Canis lupus familiaris: one gene and its partner. The protein of the gene in region 1 purifies or fractionates together with the protein of each later gene. This does not show direct contact. Links are inferred from orthologs where the notes say so. Each region holds a gene or a part of one and is shown on either strand. Other genes may lie near its edges.

Region 1 (8,745 bases):
CAAGGCTCAGGTTTGAGAAATGAGGGCTACAGACCTGGAGTCAGGTCATCAAGGGTGCTATAAACCACACGCACGGCACTATACGCAGTAAATATCTTAATACTGCAGAGTCCCTACCTGGGATTAGCCCACAGCCCTGGAGAGAGACAAACCTGTCTGGCTATAACAGCCAGTTGCCATAGGCACCCTAGAACTACAGATTAAGGCTCTTCTCCTGCCTGTGCTCTGGAGAAAGGTGATTTAAAGCAGGGTTCTGGAGACGAGGCTTGAGTTGAACATGGAAGAATGAGCAAGCAAATCACAAAAAGTATAAGCCATGTAAAGGAGTTATTATTTTATCTTGAGGGTGCTGGGGGGTGGCAGAACTTAGGGCTTTTAACCTGTGGAGAAGTGTGAATAATTGCCACTTTAGAATGCTCACACTAGCTGCTATAAGAATGGATTGGATATGGAGAGAGCTGGAAGCAGGGAAACTCTTGAGGTGATTGATATAGTACAGAAAAGAGATTGTGAGATCCTGAACAAAGACAGTGGCAGTTGGGCATGAAACAGAAGGGACGTGGTGGGAGGCATTTAGACTATGGAATGTGTCCGATGTGCTGACCAGCTGAATGCAGGGATAGGGAAGAAGGGTATCACCCAAGACTCTGGCTATTCACTCAGAGGTGATGTTTCTAAGTAAATGGGGCTGCAGAGGAAAAAAAGCAAATTTGCGGTAATAGGAAGATAATTAAGTTCTGTTTGAGTTCATAAATATTCTAGCAGTACTTCCACTTCTTCCAGAATAATGTCCAGACTCCAGGGCTGCAGAGAAATCCCTTCTCAGTATGCTTCCCTCCAACCTTTCCAGCTTTGGCTCGTCCCACCCTCTTACAGCCAAAACCCTAGGCCTTCCTATGCCCAACACAACCTCCACCTTCCCTCTCTGACACCAGGGCCTATGCTCAAGCTTGCTCTCCATCCTTTTTTGCAATGCTCTTCCCTCCTATTTTTGCCTGTTAAAATCCTACCAACCCTGTAGGCAGAGATTTCTTAAACTCAATGCACAAAAGCACTAATCATAAAAGAAAACACTGAGCTACTACACTACATTATAATTTAGAATTTCTGATTATCAAATGACACCAATGCGAGACTGAAGAGGCAAGCCACAGAGCTGGAAAAGATATTCCTGAAGCCTGTATCAAAGAACTCCATATCCAAACTTCATAAAGAACTACAAATCAGTATGAATAAGTAGACAAAAAGCCCAATTTAAAAAGTAGGGAAAAGACTTGAACAAGCACTTTACAAAAGAAAACACTGAAATAATTAAAAATCATATGAAAAGTGCTCAACATCAGAGACAATGCAAGAAAAGACTGTAATAAGATACCACATTTATAGCCAAAAGAGCTAAAGTTAGAAAGACCTCTAAGACCCTGGTTGGTTTTTTTTTTAAGATTTTATTTATTTATTCATGAGAGACAGAGAGAAAGAGAGGCAGAGACAGGCAGAGGGAGAAGCAGGCTTCATGCAGGAAGCCTGACTGGGACTCAATCCTAGGTCTCCAGGATCATGCCCTGGGCTGAAGGCGGTGCTAAACCACTGAGCCACCCGGGCTGCCCAAAGAACCTGTTTTGACAAGGATAAGAGTCAACTAGAATTTTCTTACGTTGCAGGTGAAAGGGAAAATGATACAAACACTTTGGAAAACTGACATACTGTTGCTGATCATATGCATACTGTACAAGCCAGCCATTCCTCTCCTAGAAATAAGTGCAGTCTACAAAAAGAAACCTATAAGAATGCGCATTGCAGCTTTAACAAAAGCCAAAAACTGTTAACTGATAACATAAATACCCATCAATAGAACAGATAAATATTGCTAGATACACACAATAGAATACTAGTCAGTAATTAAAAAAAAAAAAAGCTGCTACATACAACATGGATGAATCTCACAAAAAAAAAAAAAAAAAAAACACACAACTGATGAAGAAAAAAAGCCAGGCTCCTACTGTACATACTGTATGATTACATTTAAATGAAATTCACAACAAAACTGATTTATGGTAATAGAAGTCAGAATAGTTATCGGGATGGGAGGATGCAGTGCTGATTGGGAAGGGGCACAGGGGTGCCAGAAATGTTCTATATTTTGATTTGGGGGGTGGTGACACAGATGTATACAAATGTCAAAACTGTGCCCTTCCTGCATGTCATACCTCATGAACAAAAAAATTTTAAGATAAAGTTTTTTTAACAGGAAAAAAAAAAATCCACCCATCGTTCAAATTCAAATGCCACCTCCTCCATCAAGTTTTGCCAGCTGGATCTGATCTTTCCATCAGAACCTCTGTAGCATTCTGATGACCTTTCCTTTATGACATTTATTGCAGTTCATCTTGAATCTCAGCAGAGTCTCCTTTTTTTCCTAACTAGATGGTTATCTTCCTGGAGGCAGTGACAATGCCTTTTCACCCTTTACCGGAAACCTGAAAAGGCTCTTTGTTGAATTACATGGAAGGAAAAATTGGGTGGGTGCCCAGATGGGTGAAAGGGGGACGGGAAGAGGAAGGAAGGCCTCGGAAAAGAGATAGGAGATGTCCAAGGAAACCTTAGCTTACGCTACAATTTTACCTAGTTCCTGAAATCACATTAAATGTCACCTTGAGCAACAAATAACAAATCAAAACACTAAGTCCTTCCTAGACTGAAGATAAACAAACATCACACTCCTTCACTTACAGGAAATCCACCAAAATGAATGCTTACCTAACCTCTGGGTGTTTCAACCTGGATGAGGATACTTCACTAAGGAAAATAATAATCACACAGCCATGCTGCTAAAAATATCGCCACCTCAGTGTGGTGTAAACAGCCCAAACTGAGGGTCAGGAGACTTAGAGCCGAATTCTAACTCTGTCCCAAGTTGCTGTAACCAGTGGACGATCGCTTCGCCTCTCTGGGGCCTCAGTTTCCTCGTATGTAAAACAACAGAGGGTGGTTTGGCAAATTCTCTTAATATCCCTTCCGGTAGGGAGAGTCTGAGTATACGATCCATATCTCTCCCAGCCCAACGCAGGAGCACACCAGAAACCCCTGCAAAACAAGTAAAAGGCGCCCCAGACCAACAAACAAGCACGATTTAAAGGAGTCATTTTATCTTCCGTGGTTTAATCAAGTGTTTTTGTTTGTTGTTTGCAGCCTTACCATGATTTGCAGGAGATTTCTGAGTTCCATGTAAACAGATGTTACCTCCCTGTGGGCTGTCATCCTCTTCTGAGAGTTAAGGGGGTCTTCCCGCCCAGTTTCAAGTCTCCGAATTCAGAAACCCCCAAGGCTGAGGGAAGGTTTACGAATTTGCGCACACTGCGCGGCACACTGGAGTCTAAGTTACAGAGGAACAGGGTGCAGGGAATGCTGGGATTTGTAGTCCCCGGGCCTCTTTGTTGCGTGATGGGATCTGTGGTTCCCCCGGGCACTCCCCCGGAATGCTGGGAAATGTAGTCTCTCTCACATCGCACAGGGCAACCCGCCGTCATTTCAGCGCCCTAGTGTGCCCCGCGGAGGGAGCGGGCCCCTCGAGCCTCTGCAGATCTGAAGCCAACCCTCCGCTGGGGCAAACTCTAGGCAACAAGACCTAAAGAAAAATTTGTCCTACGGGACTTCCCGGGGAGGGCCCTTCCCACTGACGCTCGTCGTCCCCCGGCGAAGCCGCTGAATGTTTCTATTGGCTGCTCGGGATGCCAATCGGCGAGGAGGGCTTTCCATTGGCTTTGGGGCGGGCGCTCCGAGGCTAGGGGGAAGGAGAAGGGATCAGGAGCGGGAGCTGAGGGGAGGGAGAGGCCGGTCCGGGTCTGGCCGCTGCCGCTGCTCGCTGGAGGTCTCCAGGCCGCGCTGCGGCTCCGTCCTCGGTTCCTGGGCACCGTCTGCGAGGCTCCGCCGGGCCAGCGTGGGAGAGCCGCGGGCGGCGGCCGCCGCATCATGTCAGCCAAGGACGAGAGGGCCAGGGAGATCCTGAAGGGCTTCAAACTGTATCCGCCCGGGAGTGGGGCGGGGCGGGGCCGGGAGGACTTGGGGGGCGGCCGCTGGCGGAGGAGACGGGCCGGGGGCGGGGGCCGCGCCTGCTGGGCTCGGGACGGGAGCGCGGCGGGAGGGGACGGAGGGGACCGAGGGAACGGCGTCCCGGTCCCCCCGGCGGGACCGGGTACTGGAGGCGGGGCAGGGGGCGTCCTGAGGGAGGAAGGAGACGTTGCCGGGAGCCGGGGGCTGGAGTGGAGGAGCCCCTGTCCGAATTGGGCTGGGAGACGCGGCGGGCGTCGGAAACGCGTGGCGGTGAGGCCGGCTTGGGTCCGAGCCTCGGCCCGCGCCCGGAGGCCAGAAGGGGGGCTGCGGCCCGCAGGGAGGGCCGAGGGGCGCGGGGGGCTGGCCTCGCAGCCCTGCAGCCCGTTTGGCGGGAAGGCCCCGGGGGAGCAGGGAAAAGTGACTCGGAGCGAGTGACCTTGGGTGGGACAAATGCAAATGCTTGTGCTGAACTCTCCCGGGTTCCCCCGTCCCCCCCTCTACGCCACCCCCTCCTTGTTTCCACAACTTCTCTGCCTCACTTGTGGCTCCTTCCAGGGCTGGAGCAGAGAGGAAGGTGGGCCAAGAGAAGCCCGGGATCCACCTCATCTTAACACTCTCTTGGCCTTGTGAGGCACTGGATGGTGGCAGCTTCTCTCTCAGCCTTTCACTTTTCTGTCCAGCGAAGTGAGGACCCTGCACTCGAGCGTGAGATGCCTTGAGGTGTTTTGGTTTTGCACCGGGACTCCTGGCAAAGGTATCTGCGCGCTTGCGTTTGTGAGGTTCACGCGGAGACCAGGTGGAGCTGTCCAGCAATTATTTGATTACTTTGGGGACACGGTAGGATTTAGCAGGATCTAGAAATCATTGCCCCAGGCCTGGCCTGTTGTGGTGCCGCTTGTGCAACCTTCTTTCTCTCTTTAACGTATTAGGAAGCCTCGTGTTTAAATGGAGTGTCTGTCTGTGACCATAGGATGCGGATGAAAAATAGGCAAACCTGGACATTCCAATTTCACATTTTCCTGCTGAGCTTAAATCTCTTTTTACATCCCGTGCGTACAAAATGGAACGTTCTCAAATTCTTCTCTCCGTGAAGTTGTAGTCATCACTTTAGGTCTCCCCCCACCCCCCCAAAGGAGATTTAGTGAAGCACTGTTCTCTGAGCTGCCTTTGTGTTTTCACGATGCCCATTTCACCGCTGGAAATTTTAATTGCTTTTCACAGTCAGAAAGCAAGTTGGTAGTAAATTTTAGAACCCAAAATGCAACAACAACAACAACAACAAAAAAGTTACAGGACATTTTAGATATACAAATGAAAAGTTTCAAATGGAAGCTGATCTGCTATGCTTCTTTTGAAAAAAAACGGAAGGCATTATACACTAGGCATAAGGTCATTCGTGGTAAAGTTTAGTAAAAGCCTCTTTTTATAGCTTCGTGTACCTTTCGGTGTCTTTTTTCATAATGGCACCTATAAGTAAATAGGGATGGCTGAAGTCTTAGAAAAGCTGTGACATGGATTTTATTTTTCCCCTAAGTAATTTGTATTGTTAGTTACATGTATACTGTAGATAGTAAAATCAGAGACTGGGGAATTGAGAGATTTCAGAAGCAACGTTTTTGGTCCAATTGGAATTAACATACTGCTGAAAACAAGAAAGAATCTTTTTAATGGTTTTCAAACAAAGAAACTTCTTACCTCAGTCTGGGCTCTTGAAGCTGTTGAGAAAGAGGTTAAGGGACACATGTGGAAAAGAGTAGAAATCATCATCAGGTGAATTAACCAGTTCAATGATGACGTTAGTGTATTAAGAAACAGGCTTTCAGAGAAGGTTTGACCTGAGCTGATTAAATCTCAAGGGAAGCAGCCGCATAAAAAAGTTAGCATGGGAGCAAGAGGATGCTCATCCTCTGGTAGCCTTTATTGACATCTGAGGATTAAGAGAGAAAGGAAAGGAGTTCTAGAATTTGCTACTACCTTCAGGAAAACACAATCTTTTAGTAAAACAAACTGCTTATTGTCCACCTTTTTTATTGGGTGAATTGTTTTTCTGAACTTTCATTGAATCTGTTTCTGTAAGAGTTTTTTTCTACCAAAAGAAAGCACCATTAGAGTCTCCTACCAGCGATGTTGACAGTGCTCAGTTCCACATTGACTCTGTCTTTTATATTTTTGCCAATTTAGACAAGTGATACCTTATTTTAATTTGTATTTCCCTGGATATCTAGATCCCTGGACAGGTAATAGAGCATAGTGGTTAAGAAGAATTCTGGACTGTAGAGCTGTTCTGTGTTGGAATCCCAGCCCTACACTCTTGGTTGTCCCTGAGCAACTCATTTAACCTCAGCCTCAATTTCCTCATCTGTAAATGGGGTTAAAAATAGTACTTATCTCATAGGGTTGTTACGAAGATTGAATGAGTTGATAGCTGAAGCATTTAGAAAAGCACCTGATGCCTAGTAAACATTATATATTAGCTCTTATTATTGTTAGAGAAGTTGCAAAATCTTCTGTTTGGCAGTTCCTTTTCTGTGAATCACTTGTTGATTTTGTTTTTTGCCCATTTTACTATTGAATTTTTTACTTACTGGTTTGTGTGTGTGCCTTAATATCATTTGCCTGTTCTGTATGTTGCAAATATTTTCCATCAATATATTGTTCATCTCCTTTTTAGTTGAACAAATTTTATTTATTTATTTATTTATTTATTTATTTATTTATTTATTTATTTTTAAGGATGTTATATTGAGAGAGAGCATGAGCATGAGGGAAGGCCAGAGGGAGAGGGACTTCATCCCAGGACTCTGAAGACAGATGCTTAACTGACTGAGTCACCCAGGCCACCCTGTTGAACAAATTTTAAATTATCATTTCAAATTCATCAGCATTTTCCATATGGCTTCTGCATTTTGTGTCTTAAAGATTTATTTCTTTTTTTGAGAGAGAGAGGGCACATGGGCATGCACATTCTCCACACACACATGGAATCAGGTGGAGGGGCAGAGAGAGAGAGGGAGAGGGAGAGAATCTCAAGCAGACTGGCTGATGCAAAGCACAAGATGGAGCTCAGTACCACCTTGAGATCATGACCTTAGCCAAAATCAAGAGTCCCCGATGCTAAAGCAACTGAGCCACCCAGGTACTCCTGTATTTTGTGTCTTAAGAAGACCTTCCTGACCTTGGGCAAGTCACTCAACTCCCTTTCCATCCATTTCTTTAATATTCAAATGGATAAAAATCATAGTATCTACTACATAGGTTTGCAATACAGATTAAATGAATTGTTATAACTAAATAAAACTAGACCTTCCTTATCCTAAAATTAAATATTCTATGTTTTCATTTCCACCTGAAATGTTTTTACACAAATGATATGTGGTAGAAATCTAACTTCTTGTGCTGTTTTAAAATGGTATTTGGGGCAGCCCTGGTGGCTTAACTGTTTAGCGCTGCCTTCAGCCCAAGGCGTGATCCTGGAGACTGGAGATCCAGTCCCACATCAGGCTCCTTGCATGGGGCCTGCTTCCCCCTCTGCCTGTGTCTGTGCGCCCCACCCCCCCCCCCGCCCATCTCTCTCCCCATCTCTAATAAATACATAAAATCTTTTTAAAAATAAAATAAAATGGTATTTATTTTTTCTGTTACATACTCTAGCCACCCAGAAATGACCTTTAAAAAGTCTTATTTATTCATGAGAGACACAGAGAGAGAGGCAGAGACACAGGCAGAGGGAGAAGCAGGCTCCATGCAGGGAGCCCGATGTGGGACTCAATCCCGAAACTCCGAGATCACGCACTGAGCTGAAGGCAAATGCTTAACCACTGAGCCACCCAGGCGTCCCACCTTTTTGATTTTTTTTAATGTAGTCTTCCAGTGTAGCTAATGTATTTGCTTTTATAAAAATTAAATCATAAGCATTATTTCTTAACTTATTTTTTCACTTAATAATAAGTTTACCATATTCATAATTTCCAAAGATAATTACTTTTCATTGCTTTCCATGACATAGATTTGTCACAGTCCTCTTACACAGTGTTCTAGTGTAGTCTGTATAATGCACTGTTTTGCCTATTCAAACTGCTCTTCCTCACCACAAATATAGTTGACGCTTGAACAAAACTGGTTTACATACAGGTCCACTGACAAGAATTTTTTCAGTAACTACAGTATAGAGTATGGTTTTACAGTATTGTAAATATGTTTTCTCTCATGATTTTCTTAATAACATTTTTCTTCCAACTTATTTTATTGTAAGAATCTGGTACATAGGGCAGCCCGGGTGGCTCAGCAGTTTAGCACAGCCTTCAGCCCAGGGTGTGATCTTGGAGACCCGGGATGGAGTCCCACATCGGGCTCCTTGCATGGGGCCTGCTTCTCCCTCTGCCTGTGTCTCTGCGTCTCTCTCTCTCTCTCTCTCTCTCTCATGAATAAATAGGTAAAATCTTTAAAAAAAAAAAAAGAATATGGTACATAATACATATATAAAATACAGGTTAATTGACTTTATATTAGTAAGTCTAGTCATCAATGGGTTATTAGTAAATAAGTTTTGGAGAAGTAAAAAATTAGACATTGATTTTCAACTGTGAGAATAGTTTTAATATATACATATTTATAGCTATATACAGCTTTATTAATATCAAGAAACTGCAGGCTACCATAAGAAAAACTATGCTTTTATAATTTTATTATTTTACT
Region 2 (8,918 bases), on another chromosome or scaffold:
AGCATTTTGTTAATATGTTGGTTTTATGACCACCGAAAATGATTCCCTTGGTTTATGATCCTGTTGTGGGTATTTTACATAAGCTCCACAGAAACATTTTCCTTTTCTGTGGATCAGCTCTGTTTCTCTTTAGAATGGTAAAGCACTGTACCAGAAGCTTTCAGTGCTAGCATGCTCTTCTACACAAGAGGAATATTTTTAAAAAAATATTTTATTTATTAGAGAGAGAGAGAGACAAAGAGGGGGGAGAGAGAGCATGAGCAGGGTGAGAGGCGGAGAGAGAGAGAGAGGGGAACAAGCAGACTCCCTTCTGAGCCGGGAGCCCAATGCAAGGCTCAATCCCAAAACCCTGAGATCATGACCTAAGCTGAAGGCAGACTTCACCTTAATTGATTGAGCCACCCAGGTGCCCCCTTTTTATCTTTTTAATTTACAAATATGGTTCCAAGCCTTCAAATCTGATTTTCAGCCTGGAATCTTGCCATAGATGTATAAAATATGATCACTAAAATAATGCAATTGGTTTGTTTCACGTAGCAGCACTGCCCAGGAATGAATCCGTATCCAAATAAATGATGTCTCTCCATCAAAGCAGTTATCTAGGAAAAATTTTTTTATATCTAGGAAATTAACGATAGGAAAATGCAAAGTTTTCTTCTAAATTTCCCTTCATATGAAACCACACATGAAAATTGGTCTTATGACCTTAGTTAGCTAAGTCTAGTTTTGGGGCAAAGTAGTTGTGCCAGTTGGGATGTTTCTATCTTCAGGTAATAGAATACAGAGCCAAAGTGCACCATTATGAGAAGCCTGGAAGGCTGTGGCAATTCCCAAAAAATGACAGCAAGGGAAGTGAGGGGGAGATATTTCTTTTTGCATCTCTCCTTTTTCATTATTATTATATTTTTTTAAAGAGAGAGAAAGCATGTAGGCGAGGGAGGTGGGTAGAGAGAGAGGAGAGAAAGAATCTTTTTCAAAAAACATCTTATCTATTTATTCATGAGACAGAGACACAAGCAGACTCCACACAGGGAGCCCGACATGGGACTCGATCCCAGGTCTCCAGGATCAGGCCCTGGGCTGAAGGCGGCACTAAACCACTAAGCCACCAGGGCTGCCCAGGAGAGAAAGAATCTTAAGCAGGCTTCATGCCCAGATTGGAGCCCGATGACCTGGGGCTTAATCTCATGACCCTGAGATCATGATCTGAGCCAAAATCACGAGTCTGATGCTTAACCAACTGAGCTATCTAGGTACCCCTCCTCTTCTTCTTTTTCTAATCAGGGAGGAAAATCTTTTCCAGATGTCTCCCAAAGGAGACATCCTCTTCTGTCTCATTGGTCAGAGCTGGGTTACATAATCATTTCCGTTAAGGACGAATGTAAAAGCAAATTTCTGCAATAGTAACTCTCTTCATGGACAAGAAGGGGTTAAATCTGTCTTCATGAGAAACAGATTCCTCAAACTAACATTTACAAAAAACTTTGCAAAGCCCTTTCAGGTACTTTTTCCTGCCAATCCTCGTTAACACACATGGTAATGTAGGAAGTTGTTAGTGGTGATGGTTGGGAGTAGGGAAAGTACTGGGAGCTAATAACAGTAATAGGGTAGCTACTATTGTGGACTAATCCCACCTAAAGATGAAGAACCTAGGCTCTATGCATCGAGACCTTTATGGTGAACATGATAGCGCTTTCTTCCCCTAAAATTTAAAAGGTACCAAATGCATGACACCACAGTTATGTGCGATTGTGGGCTGAGTAGTCATTAGTTCCTCCAGATGTCCCATTTGAGAGGATTTGTAGTAGTAGAGTTACATGGCCCTGAAGTAAGAACCAGAGGCCAGGTATAGTTTTAATATAGGAACCCCCCCATGTTACAGGTCTGTAGTGAGAAGAGGTTCACGTTTGTGCAAGGATTGCTGGTTTTTCGAGGCTTGCTGATCAGGTCTTTTTTGGATAAGTGAAGTGCATTCCAATTTAAGTATTAATGGAGATTAGTTTAGCTTAATGTCTCATGCAAGATTAATAATTGTATGTACATGCTTATTTGCATGGGGTGTATCATTAATGTATGACAATACATGGGGGTCCTGCTGGCATACATAATATATACATGCTTATATGCATGGGGCATATCATTAATGTATAATAATATGTAAGGAGGAGAATGAACTATTAATGTATAATTAAATGTAATCTACATATGAAACCTGTCTAAAGTAACATGGCTAAGAAGCAGTGATGCCCCAACATGGACCATATCTACTGACAATGGTGAAATTGATAATTACATCTGTTAATAAGGCATTGTGCTTTACATTGATTACTTCATTTAATTTTCAACCTGTGAAGGAGGTAGTACCTCTATTTTATAGGTCGACTGTCACACACCTAGCAAGCACAGGTACCTGTGATTAAACTCCAATGCTCCCTCTAGGGCTGGGCATTTCTTAAAACCGTACTGCTTTCCTAGTCTACTTCCTACATTCTTTCCAAGACCACTGCCTCTGAGCTAAGCTTCTTGTGCCTTAAGCTTACTCATCTGTAAAATGAGATAATTCTACCTACTTTACAGGGTTCTCATGAGGAATGAACTGTGATCATCCTTGTCATCAACAAGAGACAGGCATAATAGGTTGGCATTATTATTGTAGAATTTATCTCACTCTGTTCATTTTTTCTGACATCTTTTACCTACTGTACTGGACCGAGATCATCCAGGACAGCAGGTCCTACATTTTGTGGGCTCTGGGCCTCTCTACACTCTTAAATGTTTGTAGATCTCAAAAAGTTTTTGTTTATGTAAGCTATAGGTCTCATTACTGCTTTTAAATTAGTATTTAAGAAATGTTTAAACTTGGGCAGCCCGGGTGGCTCAGCGGTTTAGCACCGCCTTCAGCCCGGGCCTGATCCTGAAGACCTGGAATCAGCCCCAGGTCGGGCTCCCTGCATGGAGCCTGCTTGTGTCTCTGCCTCTCTTTATTTTTTAAATAAATAAAATCTTAAAAAAAAAAAAAAGTCTTAACTCTGTAACAAGCACCTGCTTCCTTAACTGCCAGAGCAATGACATCATAGACATCATGCATCCCCGGGAAAACTTCTACTCGTGAGAGAATGAACGCGAAGAAGGCAAAAAAAAAAAAAAAAAAAAAAGGGTAGTATTATGAAAATAATATATATATTTTTACTTTATTGGAGCCCCCCCCCCAAGGGTTCTCCGGATCACACTTTGAGAACTGCTGCTCTAGGTTACTTGCTTGATGAATGAACCATCCAATTCTGTTGTGTCCAGAGAATCCACGGTTTGAGACGTCAAAACCAGAGGCAGAGCCAGAGCTCTGTTAAACTGAAGGCCACTCAAGGTGCTTTCCCGCAGGCGGACAGGTCCTCAGCAACCTCCGCGGCGGCCACGCTCCTCCCGGGGCGCGACCCCCAGGCGCCGGGACCAGCTCCGGGAGCCCCTGCCGGGTGCTGCGCGCGCTGCACCCCGCTTCCCGGGCGCCCGGAGACAGGCCCCGCCCCTCCGCCTCTCCTCCTCCTCCCGGCTTCCATGGCAACCGTGGCGCGCGTCCCAGGCGTCCACGCCCCCCCGTCGGGCTAAACCATTCGCTTCAGTGGGGGACCTGCTCAGGGGGTGATGGAAACACGGAATATGATAGAACATCCGAATGCCACTCGGCTCCTGTTTTCCTACCTGGTTACAGTGCTACATTTTACTTTTATTCTTCGCAGCCGCCCCTGCGGGACTAACGCCCGTGTCGCCCTGCTGGGCTCGAACGCCTCCCCCATCCCAGGCCGGCGAATGGGCCGGCTTGCCAGGGCGGCTCGCGTCGGCGCGGGTTGGCGCAGAGGCGGGGGAGCGCGACTGACGTAGCGCGCGGGGGGCGGGGCGGCGCGCGGGGGGAGGGGCGGAGAGGCGGGCAAGATGGCGCCCGGAGAGTGATTCACCCTAGTTACGTCCAGCGGCCGCTGAGACACCCGGGCGGGGGGTCCTGCCCCCACTGCCGCCCGTCCTCCTCTCCTCCCGCCCCCGGAGACCCCCCCTACCCTTCCTCCCTCTACCTCGGGGTGGGGGTGGGGGTGGGGGTGGGGGAGCGGGCCTGGTTCCCGGGACACCATGTCGGACTCGGAGGAGGAGAGCCAGGACCGGCAACTGAAAATCGTCGTGCTGGGGGACGGCACCTCCGGGAAGGTCAGTCCTCCAGCGGGCCCGCCGTCCCCGGGCTGCAGGAACCCCGGCACCCCCCGCCTCCTCCCCGCCGCTCGGCGTCGCCTCATTACCGCCGGGGCCGGGGCCGGGGCCCGCCAGCCTGGAGGTGGCCTGGGGCCAGGCATCCAGTCGGCGCCGGTGAAGGCTGAGGAGAGCTGTCCAGCTCCCCTTACATTAAAAAAAAAAAAAAAAAAAAAAAAGGAAAAAAAAAAAGTCACTTCCCACCTCCCCGCCTGGATCGCGAACTCCTACTTGTTCGAGTCGGGCCAGCATCGCCCTCCGGGAGGCTCCCCAGCTCTTCGCCCCCGGGGACTGGCAAGGACCTGCCAAGGCATCTCACCCCTTTTTACTTTAGTCCAGGGCACACTTCGCCGCCGCCCCCCCCCCCCGCCCCCGATGCCGGGCCCTCCCCCTCCCCCTCCCCCCTCCGGCCCCTTGACGGCTTCTCGCACCTCCCCTGCGCTGGCAGCTCGCGAGGACTTGGCTCCGGAATCCCATTCCCTGGGTGACCACTGGGGCTCCTTTCCCTAGCGGGTCGGGACATTGGAGGGCAAACTCGCTGACCTCCTTGTGCTCCAGCGGTCAGGTGGGTATTGCCAGGGATCGCCTCCAAGGGCGAGGTGTGCAAAAATACACGTGAAACGTGAAAACCCACGTAAAGGTTTCAGGACATGGTTGCGCGCTCAGTGAACGCTAGTTGCTGTTTTTATGGCATCGTACCTGTTGGTCCTTGCTCCTGGCACAGCACCTGTCGGCACAAGCATTCATTCCGCAGATACCCGTCGAGCTCCAGCTAGGGGGCTGGATGCTGCGGGTAGAGCTGCGCCCCGGACGGCGGGGGGTCCTACTTTAGGGCCTGGGGGTTGGTGCCGGCTGGGCTGAATAAAGGACACTGAGTGCCCGGGGCTCTCCGACATCCAGGCTGCTTACATGCTGGGCTATAGGGTCTTTAACTCTGGGTTGTGGAGCTCCGGAAATGGGATCCTCATCTCTGGATGCTGGCTCTTTGGGGGAGGGTCCGTGGGACCTCGGAAGGGTCAACGACCGCCCCCCCCCCCCATGGAGTGAAGCGCCTCTGCCCCGGGTGTCTTCACACCTGTCGCTTCTGTCCCAGGCGCCAACACTGCTTCTGGGAATATTGCTAAAGTCCGTCTCCTTTTCTTCTTCCCTCCCTGTTCCCAGCCAGAGTCCCCAGAAGCGCAGGTTGTTGTGGTGACCGGTTTCCGGCGTCACGATTCCCGGTTACTGGTGCAGCCTGGACCGTGGTTTCCGTGGTGACGGCTGCTCCTTGCGTCTCCCTGGCGGTTGGCCCTTGCAGAGCCGCTCCTGTCGTGGTTTCTGAGACTTGAGATCCTAGGGCACCTGGGAGAGGGGTCCTTCGTGTGCAAAATTTGGAGCATTCTGTTATTTCCTTCTTGCCTTCCCGGAGGATATTTTGTCACTGCTTTTTGTTGCTGAGGGAAAGCAAACCTAATATGCTCTGATGACCTTTAAAGGTTTTGGGGAAGCAACTTTTTGAATGGTTCGGTTGTTTTAGATAAATCACCATTGTTTCTAACACTCTTATTCAATAAAAATTTTAAGGTGTATTTGCACAGTATTTTTATTATTCGATTTTCTTTCGAATACCTTCTGATTTTTTCATTTCCTAAATCCTTTTACGGTCAACTCATAAATGAATTTGTTTTCTGCTTAAAATTACCACGACGATCTATAGCACTGATAACGGTTGTTAAAAGAGACAAAAAATTGCCCATTACCCTACATTCTATCATAATTCTTTAAGCTTCTGTTAATTTCTTTTTTTCTCCCAGTATGTATCAGTTTCATACATGTGTTACTAGTTGAAGTTTGTTCATCACCTTGTATCTGGGTTTTTTATTTAGCCTGTTCTATGTTTTCTTCTCTTTGCTAATTTAGTGTGAATAATTGTGGGTTTTCATCTGTCTAAAATTCTGTCTAGTGTAGGACAAGACATGATTTCTTTCTCTTCCATATTGTTGAATTAGGACTATCATTCTGCTTAAAAGGGTAAGAGTGATAACTCTCTATGGGGTTCTGATTTAGTCTTTATCATCTTAACTAATCTCTTTTAAAACTGTAAAGGCGTTTTCTGCCAGAGATTTTCAGATACCAAAGTCAGAAACCTAACCTTTTTTCATTATTTGTGTATCAAGCTTTTTTCTTTGCCATACCCTATTCAGCTCTCAAGTTATTGGCAGCTACCAACAGTCCCATTCTATTTCCTTTACTATCCTTATATGAATTCAGCCTCTTTCATTTCATTCTTATTTGTATCCTGATTGAACTCGTGGCTATATTTTCTAGCATTAGTTTTTCTTGTCAGTTTTAACTTAATGACATTTAAGTACATGTTGACTTTAAATACACATTGACGGGAGCAATCGAGTATTGAGATAATCATCATTAACAGTTTCTCCAAGAGAAATTTTGCTCCTCCTCCTAGTAACATGTGTTTCTGTTTCTTTCTGTTTTGATTCATACTTTTGATTTTATTACATATTTCTTAAGATTTTTTGAGGCAAAATATTCTTTCTTGGTCTTTTTTTTTTTTTTTGTATTAGTAAATGTAGTATGGTAAAAATTGTTAGCAGGAGCTCACCAAGCAAAACAATGTAAAGGATCAGATAAAGATGTTTCAGATATGGTAGATGATTGTTCACCTCACAATTATTTAAGAAGGGTATTTATATAATGACTTGAGAGAAATTATTGAATGTGAAAGAGGCCAGAGAGTCTAGAGTATTGAAGAGGAAGTGCCTACCACTGATTCAGTTGATTCTCTGTTTAATTTTTATGGTATGTCTAGAAATGGTATAAGAACCCATTTTAATATTCTGTGTTCCCAAGCCCCCTGCTTTTGACAGATTATACTTTATTCTAATCAAAAATCTTAGTTTTATGTTTGCCTCAAAAGTGTGAGGGTAAGGCTTTCAGAATCTCAAAGTCCTATTTCCAAAAAAAGAACCCTTGGATTTTTAAAATATTCATTAATATAAAAGTACTGAACTCCGAGAACCTTACGTGAAAGTGAAAAATTACCTTAAATGGCACTATGCTGTTACTTGTACCTTGAGTTTCTCTTTGTCTTGTAGAACTTTATCTACCATCTCTATATTAAACATTTTGAAATATCTGTAATAAATAGTGGCAATTATTTTTCTCTGTAACTCTGAGCCTCTTAACAGAAGATTCTGTACCCTAAGTTAAACAAGTTCAATGGCATAAATAAAGCTAAATGAAACCCAAAAAGTTTTAAAAAAGAATGCTTACCTTTTTTTATTCCAGTCTCTTAGTTTTTATATTATTGTTACATGCTTCAGGAAGCCAAAGAAATATTCATTTGGGTGTAGTGAGTTTATTTCTAAGTGCTTAGGAGAACATCTTTCTTATGGTGCTCAATAAATATTTGGCAATATATCTCAATTATTACAAATGCTGAATATTTAATAAAAGAATTAGAGTTAGGATGTACAAATTGTCATCTGTGTGAAAAATATGGCTTTTGTGTCCAAAGGAATTTTAGGTTTTTTGTTTGAAGGAATTGAAATTTGGCCAAGTTTTCTTTTGCATTGCTGTACTTATGTCATAATTAATTATACTAAGCTATTTTGGAAATTTTATTTTAGTTTTCATTATTTTGGGAATTGACATCTAATTTTAACTTTTAAAATAGAAAAGGGCTATTTTCACTTGGGTAGTCTTTCTTAAAGAGCATGAAAGCTTCTCTTGAAGCTGCCTTTCTTCTTTTTGGTGAAGTTTACAAATAGTGCATTTCAAATGTTTAAGAAGCTTTTAAGTTATTATTTCAGTTGTTACCAGAATGATTTTAATTCTTCTTTGATAGGAAACGGTACTCCTGAGTTTTGAATACAACTTTATTAAAAAAAAAAGTGTAGATCTATGTATGTGTGTTCTGGTTATAGTATTCATTAATCTTTATGGTTGTTGGATGGAAAATACTTACTTTGCTAATATTAGTCTTAAAAGTACTGACTTTTAAATTTTAAAGATAAATATTATCTCAATCATACTGTAGGATCATTTTCATTTAACATCTTTAATTTAGAGAAAAATTAGACATTTAAAGATACTTTTTTTGTAGGGAAAAAAGAAAAATTTTATGAATAGGTTTTCCCCTTTTAATTAGTACTTCTTATTTTTGGCTGAGAGCACAGATATTCAGAATATTTAACCTCAGACATGAAATTTAGAGTTCTTTGAAATTTGTGTTAAACTGATTTATATTGATATATAGGATTCAGATCTTTAGTTGTGTTGTTTTACTTTTCTTGTTGATAAATCTCAAATTCTAATTTCTAGCAAGGAGAAGGAGCTTGACTATCAAGGGATTTAAGGAGATCTAACAGATTAGTCTTTTGTTCCCACTGATAGCTGTTGGCAAGTGAAATTTACCTGGTGAAGTGTTAAGTCTCTCCTCCCTTTGTAACTGATGAGAACTGCTTAAAGTTGTTTGTTGGATTAATGGTAGTGTAACTACTAAGATTATTTAGTAAGGTTTAGTAATGATTTTATGTTTATATTTTTAAAACAGAGTCATTAATTTTGATATTCTGTGCATCAATTTTTTTAGACCTCCTTAGCTACGTGCTTTGCTCAAGAAACTTTTGGGAAACAGTACAAACAAACTATAGGACTGGATTTCTTTTTGAGAAGGATAACAC

What was found.
Region 2: the proteins of PDE6D (region 1) and RAB28 purify together in Homo sapiens (affinity purification with mass spectrometry; 3 studies listed by BioGRID and IntAct, with this or other methods). This does not show direct contact. The link is inferred for Canis lupus familiaris from reciprocal best matches to the Homo sapiens genes PDE6D and RAB28.

What each region holds. Positions count from the first base shown.
Region 1 is NC_049246.1:43,814,749-43,823,493, reverse strand, and holds the start of PDE6D (retinal rod rhodopsin-sensitive cGMP 3',5'-cyclic phosphodiesterase subunit delta), read left to right. Parts: upstream 1-3,910; 5' UTR 3,911-3,969; coding exon 3,970-4,019; intron 4,020-8,745. UniProt on the Homo sapiens protein: Promotes the release of prenylated target proteins from cellular membranes. Modulates the activity of prenylated or palmitoylated Ras family members by regulating their subcellular location.
Region 2 is NC_049224.1:67,142,506-67,151,423, forward strand, and holds the start of RAB28 (ras-related protein Rab-28), read left to right. Parts: upstream 1-3,889; 5' UTR 3,890-4,119; coding exon 4,120-4,194; intron 4,195-8,827; coding exon 8,828-8,918.